Anolis sagrei: one gene and its partner. The protein of the gene in region 1 interacts with the protein of each later gene in a pairwise test. Links are inferred from orthologs where the notes say so. Each region holds a gene or a part of one and is shown in the gene's direction. Other genes may lie near its edges.

Region 1 (6,889 bases):
CAGCAGGAATGACAATTGTGAAGACTTCCTATTTATTTTTATTTTTTTTGGAAGGGGGCATTGCTCCTTGTTAGCTCTGATGGAGAAGGGTAATGGGAACTGGACTCCAGCAGGACACTCTTGATGCATCCATCATGTGGCATATGGAAAGCTAGATTATGTCGGTTCAACCAGGATGTAGTGTTGAAGAAAAGGATTGCAAGCCAGCAGAAAAATTTACAAAATAAACACAAGTTTGTCTCCTCTTCAGAAAGGTAAAGATTTGAAAACATAGCTATGGAAATTACCTGGATGTTATTAGCACTTGTCATTTTCTTCCTATGCTTAAGCTAACAAGTAATTGGAATTTTATATACCAGTGGTAGGTATGATGAACATTGCCAAATATGGTTGGATTGCCTCTCCCAGCATGATGGGAGCTGCACTCCAACAACTTCATTACTTCCACCTTATATGCACGTTTAGTTGGAACTGAGTTAGGCCTTATTGTACTCAACAGGTCTTGCTCCTGTTAAATAAAAAGGTGTCCTATCAGGGCTGTAGCCAGAAAAAAATTTCGGGGAGTTTTGAAAATTTCGGGGGGGGGGGGGTGGGTGGGTTGAAAATTTCGGGGAGGGGGGTTAAAACCTGCTTCTTAGCTCACGCTGAAGCAAAGAGCACAGCAGGGGCAGAGCAGCCTTCAGTAGCCTGCAGCTCCACCCCTTTCAACCACCCCCACCAAGTCTGGTCTCCTTCATGAGGGCCTTCAAATCTAACACCCCCCCCCCCCCCAAACTTGGTTGCTTCGCTACATCGGCTATTGCTGCAAGTAATGACAATGTGAATAAATTGTCGATATTTCTTTGAGATAGTGCTTGCAGTTCTGGAGGGACTCTTAATTTTCTGTGTCCCATAGACTTAGCATGGGGATTTGGTTAACCAGTTAAAATTCATGAGTAAACCAGGTTTTTTTTTTAACCTGAAAAATTGGGGGGGGGGGGGTTGAACCCCTAACCCCCCCCCCCCCCCCCCGCTACAGGCCTGTGTCCTATTATTATGGGTGACGGGAACAGCATCCTCTGTGTCTCTTCTGGTTTCCTGATCTTAATCAAAGCTTGAAATTCAGTGGAGTGTGACAGTGCACTGCACTTGTTTCCCCTGCAACCCACTCCACCTTTTTGCTTCCTTCTTTGCTGGGGGAAGTGCTGAGCATGACTTATGCCTGTGTATGCGCAGAATATTACTATAAGATAGCAGAGAAGGCAGACAACGCTGGGCATTCATTAAAAATCACCTTCTGTAAGATGTATATGGTATCCTCTTGTAATTTCCAGTGCATTGTCAAAATTCCTGGTATCCTGTCCATTTCATTCAGTTGAGACTGAGGTGAGTGAATATGTGGGGGAACAATAAGGGGGAGAGGGAAACTATGCAGGGTGGGAAGTCAGTGTGAGGGTGAGAAGGGAACCACAGAGACCTCCCTTATGTGTGAGTGGCTTTATATTAGTGCGAATAGGGTTTTTGCATCTGAGATGGTTGGTATGTACAGTTTTTTATATGAGTGTGTTGATTAGTGTGGGTCGCTGTTATCACTACAGGCAAAGAAATCGATTATGAATGCTTGCAGAACTTGCTGCCATGCTTACCCATGTAAATTTATCCTTCTCATGCCTAAATAGACTTGTATAAATTGGTTGTGTGTGCTATGCTGCTCACATTGACATTTCTGAGTGAACATGTAGAGGTGTGTTTTGTGGTGGATGGAGATGCACAGTGGATTGTGAAGGCTTTCCAAATTGGAGGTTGAGATAGGATGGGATATAAAAGCCCAAAATAAATAAATAAAGAATAAATAAAGTTAGCATTTTGGATTTTTTAAAAAATAATTTCAGGCATTGATTTGGTGGGAATTATGGATGCATTTCCCTGTTTGGAAATCAAGACTGCTCCCAGATTAAAGTGAAATTAGGGGACTTTTCTTTGTCATTAACACCGAGGGCCCTTCCACACAGCCCTATATCCCAGAATATCAAGGTAGAAAATCCCAAATAACCTGGGAACCCTTCCACACAGCCCTATTAACCCAGGATATCAAGGAAGAAAATCCCACATTATCTGAGCGTGGACTCAGATAACCCAGTACAAAGCAGATAATGTAGGATTTTCTTCCTTAATATTTTGGGATTTAGGGCTGCGTGGAAGGGCCCCAAGAAATGGAGCAAGCCACATTCAGTTTAGCTGACTGTCTTCTACTGAGTGAATACATTCGTGCGTCCCCCAGGCAACGTTTCTCATAAACGGCTACTCTTTCCAAATCCAAAAACATTGCTTTTAAATAACTGTCTTCTAGTGAGAAGGTGGATGCTGAGAGTGAGGTGATGGAGGAAGCCATGGGTACATCTACTCTGCAGAATCAATGCAGTTTGACACCACTTTAACTGGCCTGGCTCAATGCTATGGAAGCCTAGTACTTAGGGCCCTTCCACAGCCCTATATCCCAGAATATCAAGGCAAATTATCTGCTTTGAACTGAGTTATCTGAGTCCACACTTAGATAATGTGGGATTTCTGCCTTGATATAGGACTGTGTGGAAGGACCCTCAGTCTGTACTCTTTGGCAGATAAGGCCGACAGAACCACAATTCTCCAGAATTCCCCAGCACTGAGCCATGGAAGTTAAAGTAGTATCAAACTGCATTAATTCTACAGTGTAGGTATATTCTAAGCAAACGGATAAATTTGACTAAAACAGTTGAATTTCTCTATGACAAGCCTACTTGTCATAGAGAAATGACAAGTATTAACCAAGCATGGGCAAATTTGGGCCTTCCAGGTGTTTTGGACTTCAACTCCCACCATTCCTAGCAGCCTCAGGCCCTTTCCTTTTAAGTGTCCGAGAGGGAAAAGGAAGGGGCCTGTGGCTGTTAGGAATTGTGGGAGTTGAAGTCCAAAATGTGATGCGGCAGCAAAAAAACCCAATGGGATTTTGGCCTGCATCAATAGTATAGTGTCTAGACCCAGGGAAGTCATGCTAGCCCTCTATTCTGCCTTGGTTAGACAACACCAGGAATATTGTGTCTAATTCTGGGCATTGCAATTGAAGGAAGATGTTGACTCTCAGCTGGAATGTGTCCAGAGGAGGGTGACTGAAATGATCAAGGGTCTGGAGAACAAGCCCTATGAGGAACAGCTTAAAGAGCTGGGCATGTTTAGCCTGAAGAAGAGAAGGCTGAGAGGAGACATGATAGCCATGTATAAATACGTGAGAGGAAATCATAGGGAGGAGGGAGCAAGCTTGTTTTCTGCTGCCCTGGAGACTAGGATGTGGAACAATTGCTTCAAACTACAAGAAAGGAGAATTCCATCTGAATATGAGGAAGAAGTTCCTGTGAGAGCTGTCCAGCAGTGGAACTCTCTGCCCCAGAGTGTGGTGGAGGCTCCTTCTTTGGAAGCTTTCCAACAGAGGCTGGATGGCCATCTGTCGGGGGTGCTTTGAATGCAATTTTCCTGTTTCTTGGCAGGGGGTTGGACTGGATGGCCCATGAGGTCTCTTCCAACTCTTTGATTCTATGAAATGTTTATGCTTTATTACAATGTTGCCCCTCACTCTGTGATTCTATGAAAACACTCAAAGGGCCCAAGCTGGCCCAGGCCTGGCATTAACTCAAGCAATCAACATAAATTAGAACAGAGAATCCAGTTACTGTATCGCGGGATTTGATCACGTTCTCGCGATATCACGTTTCATGTCTATAGAGCGAATGGAAGTTAAGAATCACAAGGCTAAGAACCAAGAATAGGAACGTATCGCTGTCGTTATTTTTGTGGAGACGGCTGGAAAAGGATACAGGCGGTTTCCTGGCCCCAACGTACGGGGAAACGCTAGTATTTTCAACTGACGTTTCCGCGCATTTCTCTCTTGGAAGGTGTGAGAGAGAACAAAAATGGCGCCCATCCTCTAACGCTCCGTAAGAGTCTATGTGGCGAAAGCAGCTCTGGATTCCCGTGGAGATCACAGCTCTCGCGAGAATTCGCCGACAGCTGACTGAAGGCAAGCGGGGCTGGGGCTAAAATCCCGGAAGGTTCGGAAGCGGCGGCCGTGGGCTCGCGCGCGGGGTGGGTCTGCGCGTGCGCGGGTTTGCGCGGGAGCCAGGCAGCAGAGGGGTCTTCTCCCTTTCCTTTTCCTGCCTTTGATCTGTTTGATCTCCAGTTTAAGCCTCGCTCACAGGCCTTTCCATCCCTGGGTTTTCCCTTATGGGTGTATCTGCACCACTTTGGCACCACTTTTAACTGCCATGGCTCAATACTGGGGAATTCTGGGGTTTGTCTGACTTTTAGTTTTTTCTAAAGAGTGCAAACTGCAAATCCCTGAGCCATGGCAGTTTAAGTGGTGTCAAACTGCATTAATTCTACAGTGTAGATGCTCCCTGGGTTAACATGCAAGAGATTCTGCTATATAGGGAAAGGCGCTTCATTAGCAGTCATCGCCTCAGTTCATCTGTGGTGTTTACTCTTTAATTTTTGCCTTCTTTTCCTTAATTTCAAATAGACACAGTTTAATTACATGCCAGGGAGTCAAGTTTGGCTCTAACACAGGCATGGGCCAATTTGGGCCCTCCCTCCAGGTGTTTGGGACTTCAACTCCCATCATTCCTAAGCGGCTGAGGGGGAAAAGGAAGGGGCCTGAGGCTGTTAGGAATGATGGGAGTTGAAGTCCCAAACCTCTAGAGGGAGGGCCCGAATTGGCCCAAGCCTGGTATATATAATGGGATATGAGCATCCACAGATTGTGGTATCCTCAAGGAGTCCTGGAACGAAATCCAAATGGATACCAAAGGTCCGCAGTCCATCCTCCGTAGGTTCTGCATCCGTGGGTTCGATCAACCACTGGTTGGAAATATTTTAGAAAGTAATTCCCACATACAGGCAGTCCCTGAGTTACAAACATCCAACTTTCGAACAACTCCTACTGAAGAACAGAGGTGAGACAACAGGAAGTGAGTGAAATCTACCCCTTGGGAGGGAACTTCACTCCTGAAAGAGTTATTATTATGGGGAAAAAGGTGTTTCCCCTGAAGCTTTATCACCAATCCTTGTTTCCTCAACAAGCCACATTTTTCAAAATTAGATCCAACTAATGCTATACCCCATACCAGAAATACTATATTGACTTGATATCAATATTGGAATACAGTTAACAATTGCAAGACAAATTTAATTTTAATTTCACAATCCTATTGTCTTATAAAAACAGTTTTGTGAATCCACTATGCAATCTTGGCCAGTTTGTTGTCTAAGGCTGTCTTGGCTGGAATCACTGGGTTGTTGTGACACTTGCCTCAAACAGGCAAGGGTTTTTTCTCCCACTCTGTACATTATTCCAAAGATATATAAATCCCACTTGCCCAATTTCCAACAGACCTCACAACCTCTGAGGATGCCTGCCATAAATGCAAGCAGAACGTCAGGAAAGAATGCTTCTGGAACATGGCCATACAGCCTGGAAAACTCAAAGCAACCCAGTTCTTGTCAGTTGATTGAGAGTTCCAGTTAACTGTACAGCCACCATATTCAGTGGTGGACCAGTATCTGTGACTGCTTTGATTTACTTCCAAGAAAACATGTCCACTCAGAGTGAGATTTTATGGTCTTCTTTGGCCAGAAGTCCAATAGGATTTCTTATTTATTTAGTTATTCAACCCCCGAAGGGGGACTCAGGGTGGCTTACATTTGGCACAATTTGGTGCCATTAAATATAACAAAGCAATACAACAACAATTAAAACAATAAATAGAACATTAATTGAAACAATAAAACAGTATTAACCACTGTATCACCATTCCAGTCAAATTCCATATCCAAAGCACTATTTATGCCTGCTGTCCAAAAGTCTGGTCCCAAAACCATGACTTCAATTTCTTCCTAAAAGACAGGAGGGATGAAGCCGATCTTACCTTGTTGGGAAGCGAGTTCCACAGGCGAGGGGATACAGCCGAGAAGGCCCTGTCTCTTGTTCCCGCAAGATGTATTTGCGATGCTGGGGGGGGAGCGAGAGCAGGGTCTCCCCAGATAAACTTCAAGGCGGGACATAGAGAGAGATGCATCCAGACAAGTAAGCTGGGCCAGAACTGTATAGAGCTGTATAGGTCAAAACCAACACTTTGAATTGAGTTGGGAAGTGGATCGGCAGCGAGTGGAGCTGACACAACAAGGGGGTGGTGTTCTCCCTGTATGTCGCTCCAGTTAGTAATCTGGCTGTCGCCTGTTGGACTAGCTGAAGTTTCCGAACAGTCTTCAAAAGCAGCCCCACGTAGAGTGCGTTGCAGTAATCTATTCGGGATGTAACAAGAGCGTGGACCACTGTTGCCAGATCAGACTTGCCAAGGTATGGGTGCAGCTGGTGCACAAGCTTTAACTGTGCAAAAGCTCTCCCGGCCACCGCCGAAACTTGGGGTTCCAGGCTCAGCTGATCCAGGATCACTCCCAAGCTGCGAACCTGTGTCTTCAGAGGGAGTGTAACCCCATGCAACACAGGCTGTAACCCTATGTCCTGTTTGGCCTTTCGACTGACTAGGAGAACCTCTGTCGTGTCTGGATTCAATTTCAATTTGTTAGCCCTCATCCAGTCTGACACAGCACTGGTTCAAGGACTGAATAGCCTCCTTAGTAACGGATGGGAAGGAGTGACAGATTTGGACATCATCTTATCCATGGTTTCATGTATCATGCTGTATTTCTTAATAAATAGTGAGTTATTAGAATTCCTCCCCACAAGATAAGTGGTATTGAATTGAAAAGAAGCTTTAAAAAATGGGATAAAACGATGAGGGGATTTGTTATAGTTTTCTGTTGCCTCTGTGTTCAGACCCAGTATAGCTTTGGATGCCATCTATTACCAACAAAGAGAAAG
Region 2 (7,417 bases), on another chromosome or scaffold:
TCTGGAGGCATAGGAGCAATTTAACCATTTCTAACAGTTTCTGGGTCACTTCCTGCTGTCATCAAGGTCTCTCCTAGGCCTAAGACTGCCTGGGATTTATGCATGTGTGGTGCCTTCAGAGGGTCTTTTAGGACATTTGGGCAAAAATGTTTTTTTTTTTTTTAAAGTAAGCCAGTGTAGAACTCTAACCTTTGATCGTTTCCAAACCCCTAAAACATAAACAAAACTAGAGCCATTGCCAGTCTTGTCTGATTCTTGGTCTAGCACTGCTGCTGGGCTTACTTTGTTAAACTGGAGGTATCGCTGGTGTGCATGCTTATTGATTTCCCCCACTCTACCCTGCAGCCTTGTTTTGCAGGGCCACACAGCTTCTTATTGAAGCCAAATGCTGCAGTGCTATGGAACATTTAACATAGCTCCAGATAAATTTGCTTTTTATTTGGCACTCCAGAGCATTACATTATGAGAAAGTTTAGAAAGGCCAGAATTGCATGGCCGCTTTGCTGTAAAGACACAAAACCTTAGCATATATATTGCAAAAACTGTGAGGATACAATATAATATGAACAATATAGTATAATATGAACAGGCCGGGCTTTAATCACCACCAGCAATAGATCTTACCAATCAAAAGGTTGGCAATTTGAAGCCTGGGTCAGGCTGAGCACCCGGCCTTTAGCCCAGCTTACTGTCCACCTAAGCAGTTTGAAAACAGCCGTGAGCTTTGAGTAGAGAAATTAGGCACCGCTTAAGCAAGGAGGCATTTTACGCCACCATAAAGGAAATACTAGAAAATGCCAGCCATCAAAGGAAGGAGGAAGTCTGTGATCAAGGGCTCTTTGTTGTAGAGGATGGAGCAGCAGCAGCAGCACCCTGTGGCTGGAATCGAGCACAATCTCCAGGACGCCAAAGTTAGAAAAATGCAGGCATAATTCCTCTATTTGTTGTCTGTTCTGTCTGTTTAACTGAACTTTTGATGTGAATGTTTTTATTGGTTTAATAGCTTGATTCTTCCCACTCTAAAGATTAAAGTGTGTGTGTGTGTGTGTGTGTGTAAAGGTAAAGGTAAACGTTGTCCCCTGACATTAAATCCAGTCATGTCCGACTCTGGGGTGTGGTGCTCATCTCCATTTCTAAGCCGAAGAGCTGGCGTTGTCCATAGACACCTCCAAGGTCATGTGGCTGGCATGACTGCATGGAGCGCCGTTAAGTTCCTGCTGGAGCGGTACCTATTGATCTACTCACATCTGTATGTTTTTGAACTGCTAGGTTGGCAGAAGCTAGGGCTGACAGCTACCCGGAATCGAACCTGCGACCTTTCGGTCAACAAGCACAGCAGCTCAGTGCTTTAACCCATTGCGCCACCAGGGGCTCCATATATGTGTGTATACACACACACACACACACACACATATATACACACACATACACACACACCATGTTACTATACATATAATTAAATAATAAAGACATCCTGCTTGTGGCTTTCCCAAGGCATTTTGGTGGCCCCAGTGGGAACAGAATATTGGACTGCATAAACCAGAGGTGTGAATTGTCTAACACTCTAGATATGTTTGCAATGCCATTCCAAACAGCTCTAAGTAGTATAATCAATTGCAAGGGATGCTGGGAGATGCAGTCCAGTTTCATTTGATTAGTTGCATGATTTGGGTCCGTCATAAAAGGCCATTGGTTTCATCCAGCATGGTGGTTCTCTTGCCTACTGTCTTGGGCAAAAGTAAAAATCAAGGTGGCCAAATATTTTAGATACATTTTGACTTATGTCTGTCTTTCCTTCTCTTCCAGCTGAATAGCAATAACAAGGTCCTGGAGAGCTGCCTCTCCCTCGGCGGTCACAGGGCCCCGGTGGTCACAGTGGACTGGTGCACAGCTATGGATTGTGGGACCTGCCTGACAGCCTCTATGGATGGGAAGATCAAACTAACCACTCTTCTGGCACAGAAGTCTTAAGGGAGACTGCAGTGCTAGGAAAGCACAAGATACGGACTTGGGGTGGGAATCAGGAGTCGACCAGTATTAACCATTTAGAATCAAGCAGCTGCAGAGAGGAAAGAGCAATCCAACCACTTGTCTTAACGTTGCTTTCCCTCTAGGTCAGAAACCTTTTTACAAAAAAGATGTTGATGCCAAACCACTGCCAGTTAAGAGTTTCAGTTACAGTAGTTCCCTCAAATAAGGGATGCTCTTATCAGGCATGCACTGATCCCAAACTCCTTTTGAAGAGGACCAACACAGAAAGAGAAAGAAAGAAAGAAAGAGAAAGAAAGATTTTTTCCCCCTTGGGCCTGCCGAACTACGTGGACATAACGCTCCAGGACTATTTTGAGAGGTGGGTGCAGATTTGCATTGGTTCCAGCAAAGGGGGCAGGGAAGCCCAGCAGTATTCTGTCTGTTCCTGCATTTCTTATGAAAATAAATATTGGACTGCATTTGGCATCTGCGTTGTTTCTATCACTATGAAACGTCTGTGCAGCAGCTAAGTGGAGCCCTCGGTGGCACAGTGGGTTAAAGCGCTGAGCTGCTGAACTTGCTGACCAAAAGGTTGCAGGTTCGAATCTGGAGAGCAGGGTGAGCTCCCGCTATTAGCCGCAGCTTCTGCCAACCTAGCAGTTCAAAAACATGCAAATGTGCGTAGATCAATAGGTACCACTCCGGCGCTCCATGCAGTCATGCCAGCCACACGACCTTGGAGGTGTCTATGGACAATGCCGGCTCTTCGACTTAGAAATGGAGATGAGCACCACCCCCCAGAGCTGGACACGACTGGACACGAATGTCAGGGGAAAACCTTTACCTTAACCTAGGAGTTCAATAAGGCATGACCTGTGCTGAGAGTCTACTAGGGTAGGGCCGAGGGACATGTGGTCATCCAGGTGTTGTTGAATGTGAGAAACTGCCTTATGGAAAACCAAGTGAGCATCATATGCACAAAATAATTGATTCCAGATCTATCTATACACATCATAAAAGTGAAAATATGTATGTGTGTATGTGGCTGAGCTGTCCACTTACACAGACAAGCTCCTGTCCCCTCACTTCTCAGGAGACACCAATAGCCCTCCCTCCAATGACATTGCAGGTTATGGTGAGTGTCATTAACATGTACAAGAGCCCTGCCAATGTCTTCCTCCAACACCATACTGCCCACCACCCAAGTGAAAGCTTTCATACGGGGACAATTTCATCCTAGATTTTATGTGTTTCCTCCACCACAGGCATCCCAGTATTTCTGCTTCTCATTGGTGTGGAATTTGCATGACCCCACCCACTGCCTCTCCCATAACCTTTTCTTATTATTTTCTGTGGCACACAGCAAACAGAGGAATTGATCAGCAACTGAACACATTAGAGAGATTTGGGGAGAATTCATGAATTATAGGAGTTGTAGGTACTGGGATGTATAGTTCACCTGCAATCTAAGAAGCGCACTCTGAACTCACCGACAATGGATCTGGAACTACTTTGGCACACAGAACCCCTATGACCAACAAAACATACTGGAGGTCTTTGGAGGGATTGATAGGAATTGTAGTTCACCTACATCCAGAGAGCACTAGAAACCCAAACAATGATGGATCTGGACCAAATTTGGCATGCATACTCAATATGCCCAAATCTGAATACTGGTGGGTTTTGAGGGGAATTGGCCTGGACGTTTTGGAGTTGTAGGTACTGGGATTTATAGTTCACCTACAATCAATGAGCACTCTGAACTCCACCAGAGATTGAACTGGACCTAATTTGGCAAACAGCCCCCATTACCTGATATGCCAAAATTTGATTACTGGAGGGGTTTGAGGGGAACTCACCTTCATTTCTGGGAGTTATAGTTCACCCATGACCAGAGAAACTGTGACTTCCACCGATTATGGACTTGGACCAAACTTGGCACACAGAACCCGCATGACTAACTCAACCTACTGGAGGGGTTTGAGGGGACTTTACTCACTGTAGTGGGAGTTGTAGTTTATCCTACAGCTAGAGGGCACACTGAACCCCGCCAATGATGCATCTAACTTGCCTAACATAACAAACTTTAAGTACTGATTGAATTTTCTGGGATTAATCTGGCAGAAATGACTTGAAAGTTCACATCATATTCAATTTTTGGTCATTTTGGTTATTATTTGCAATTTGGTACATGACTCCACTCCATACATCTCATGAATATCTCTTCGCCTGCAGTTAGTTTAGATTTGGTCATTCGGCTGGAGGCTATTACTTTTTTGGAACTACAATTCCCAGTGGCAGTGCTTGCTGGAAGATTCTGGGAGCTGTAGTTAAAAGCCAGTCAGTGGGCTAATGCCTTGTTTTGAATTGCTTGCTCCTCCTTGAACTTGAGTGAGAACTTGAGTTCCCAGCCAATGGGGGACAGAGGGGGAGGAGCCCTCGTGACGTCACAGAGATGGCTGCTTGCTACTTCCTTTTAACGTTTGGAGAGAAGTCCTGCACCAAAATTGCAACGTGGGTTGGAATGGGTGAACGAGGCAAACATTTGTGATTGCACAGAGCAGGTAAGGAAGCAAATCATTGTTTAGAGTTTTGGTAAAGCAAACCAACAGGGGTTTTACTTATTCTTGGGTTTGTTCATGATGGGGTTGAAAGGGTAGCTGATTCTTTGGGTATATCAACACTATGCAATTAAATCAGTTTCATGCCCCTTTTAATCGTGGAATCTGCAGCTTGGATGGAGATGTGAGAAACCTTTGCTCAAAACTTCAGTGCACTTCCGTCATTTACAGCACTCCTTTCTCCCACTGAGGGTGTATCTACACTGTAGAATAAATGCAGTTTGACACCCTTTTGACTACCAAGGCAATTGAATTATGAGAGTTGTAGTTTTACAAGGCCTTTACCCTTCTCTAGCAAAGACTGTTGGTGTCTTACCAAACTAAGGTAAAGGTAAAGGTTTTCCCCTGACATTAAGTCCAGTCGTGTCCAACTCTGGGGGTTGGTGCTCATCTCCATTACAAAGCCGAAGAGCCAGCATTGTCCGTAGACACCTCCAAAGTCATGTGGCCAGCATGACTGCATGGAGCGCCGTTACCTTCCCACCAGAGCAGTACCTATTGATCTACTCATGTTTTTGAACTGCTAGGTTGGCAGAAGCACCGCTCCCCGGATTTGAACCTGTGACCTTTTGGTTAGCAAGTTCAGAGGTTTAACCCACTGTGCCACCAGGGGCTCCAAACTACAAACACCATAATTCTGTTGCATTGAGATGTAATGTCATACTGCATCAACTCTACAGTGTAGATCAGGCATGGGCAAATTTTGACCCTCCAGGTGTTTTGGACTTCAACTCCTACAATTCCTGGCCTCAGGCCCATTCATTTCCCCCCCTCAGCCGCTTAAGTTACCTTCTTCCATTATTATCTAATACTAAAAGGTCTCTATGATGTTAAAAAAGAAAATATAGCAAAAAGAGTATTTTTTTCTATTTAAAACAGAAGGATAGAAAAGTGGTTGTACAGTGTTTTGAAACAAAGGATATAGAAAAATTGAGAAATGGAAAATAGAAAGCCCTAACGCTTCTGACCCTGTCTCTGCTGTCTTCTTCATAATAAAAAAAAAATCTATAACTTTTCATTTCTGATAGATCCGTTGAATATCATTAGAGATGCTGTTATTCTTGTCGCTAGCTGAATCATAGAATCATAGAGTTGAGAGACCTCATGGGCCATCCAGTCCAACCCCCTGCCAAGAAGCAAGAAAATCACATTTAAAGCAACCCCAACAGATGGCCATCCAGCCTTTGTTTAAAAGCCTCAAAAGAAGGAGCCTCCACCACACTCTGGGGCAGAGAGTTCCACTGCTGAACAGCTCACACAATTAGGAATTTCTTCCTAATATTTAAATGGAATCTCCTTTCCTGTAGTTTGAAGCCATTGTTCTGCGTCCTAGTCTCCAGAGCAGCAGAAAACAAGCTTGCTTCCTCCTCCCTTGACTTCCCTTTATGTCTTGTCTTCTCTTTAGCTTCTCTTTTTCTTCTTCTTCTCTTGTTATCCCTACATCCCTGTACTACTAATTTTCCCTTGATGCTATCCTTCTTGAGTAAGGAGGAAATGGGATCTCCAGAAGCAGCTAAGAAGAGGATCCTCCCAATGTGGATGACAAAACGGGCAACTGAGTCAGGACAAGAAGCAGAAATCAAACCAAAGAGGAGGAAGAAATCAACTTCATTGGGGTGAGGCATTTTTCAATCCTAGGAACTCAGCAGACCTTTGACCTTCAATTTTTAAAAAAGTATTTGTACTCGGCATATGTCCAGACTCTCCACAAACCTTGGAATGGCTGTATGGCGGGCTTAAGAGGGTCTTTATTAAGCGGTGGCATATGACTCTATAGATCCCAATTTGCCGGCTGGCTATCCTGTGGTGAGCCACTAAGGCTTTTAACTCTGAAATGATGACCCAGTCCAATTTCATCTATGTTTTCATTCACAAATCTTCAACGCCAGAACATTTTAAAATAGATAGATAGATATTTGTGGTTGAGTCCTCTGTGACAGCCTATGGCTATTCCAGTGTTGGTAGAGAATTCCAGTTTCTGTAGACTATATTTTAGAATAGGCATGGGAAAACTTCGGCCCTCCAGGTGTTTTGGACTTCAACTTCCACAATTCCTAACAGCTCCTGAAACAAGAGCATACTCCAAACTCTGTCTCTCTCTGCTTCTCTTTTCTTCTCTCCCTGAGCACCTGCATAGCTCAAGCCTGAACAACAATGCAACAGTATCCAAAAGTCCCGGGCTCAGCCATCTTCCCAGGTATTGCCCAACCAATCAGATTAATGCATCTTATTTTATAGTTGACATGCATGCATTAACCGAATCCTTGCATGCTCCAACACAACTTGCATCATTGTGACCTTTGGGGGGGGTACCATGAAGGTACAAATTCTATTCTGACCGCACAACAATCAAAATCTCCCTTAAGCATTAAGAAATGGGAGGAGTAGTAGATACATCTAGCTATTTCCTTGAAGCTATTTCATTGATCAGCCTACCGGCTGTTAGGAATTGTGGGAGTTGAAGTCCAAAACACCTGGAGGGCTGAAGTTTGCCCATGCCTGTTTTAGAGAAAGGAACTGGCAAAACCACCTCTCAGTATTCCATGCCTTATGGAATTCATGGAGCCTTCATAAGTCTACAGGTCACATAAAGGCTCATATGTGAACTGAGAGAATGCATCCAGCTATTGTCACTTAGCTGGGCAAACATCAATAACATCACCAGCAGAGGTCACACAAAGACCTCATGAGGTCCCGAAGGATGCCTGTCGAAATACATCCAGCTGAAGGAAATAGTTGACTGTATCTACTGCTCCTCCCATTTCTTAAAGCTTATGGGAGATTTTGATTGTTGTGAGATCGGAATAAAATTTGTACATTCATGG

What was found.
Region 2: the proteins of ERCC6L2 (region 1) and CYREN interact in binary tests that used the Homo sapiens proteins (3 or more experiments, as listed by UniProt). The two-hybrid records come from large-scale screens. The link is inferred for Anolis sagrei from reciprocal best matches to the Homo sapiens genes ERCC6L2 and CYREN.

Annotation. Positions count from the first base shown.
Region 1 is NC_090022.1:231,019,034-231,025,922, forward strand, and holds the start of ERCC6L2 (DNA excision repair protein ERCC-6-like 2), read left to right. Parts: upstream 1-3,871; 5' UTR 3,872-4,061; exon of another isoform or gene 4,062-4,095; intron 4,096-5,773; exon of another isoform or gene 5,774-6,364; intron 6,365-6,889. UniProt on the Homo sapiens protein: Promotes double-strand break (DSB) end-joining and facilitates programmed recombination by controlling how DNA ends are joined in a spatially oriented manner during repair.
Region 2 is NC_090025.1:158,237,127-158,244,543, forward strand, and holds the start of CYREN (cell cycle regulator of non-homologous end joining), read left to right. Parts: upstream 1-4,396; 5' UTR 4,397-4,535; intron 4,536-6,076; 5' UTR 6,077-6,086; coding exon 6,087-6,208; intron 6,209-7,417. Other genes in the region: WDR91 (WD repeat-containing protein 91), read left to right, coding at 1,807-1,971. UniProt on the Homo sapiens protein: Cell-cycle-specific regulator of classical non-homologous end joining (NHEJ) of DNA double-strand break (DSB) repair, which can act both as an activator or inhibitor of NHEJ, depending on the cell cycle phase.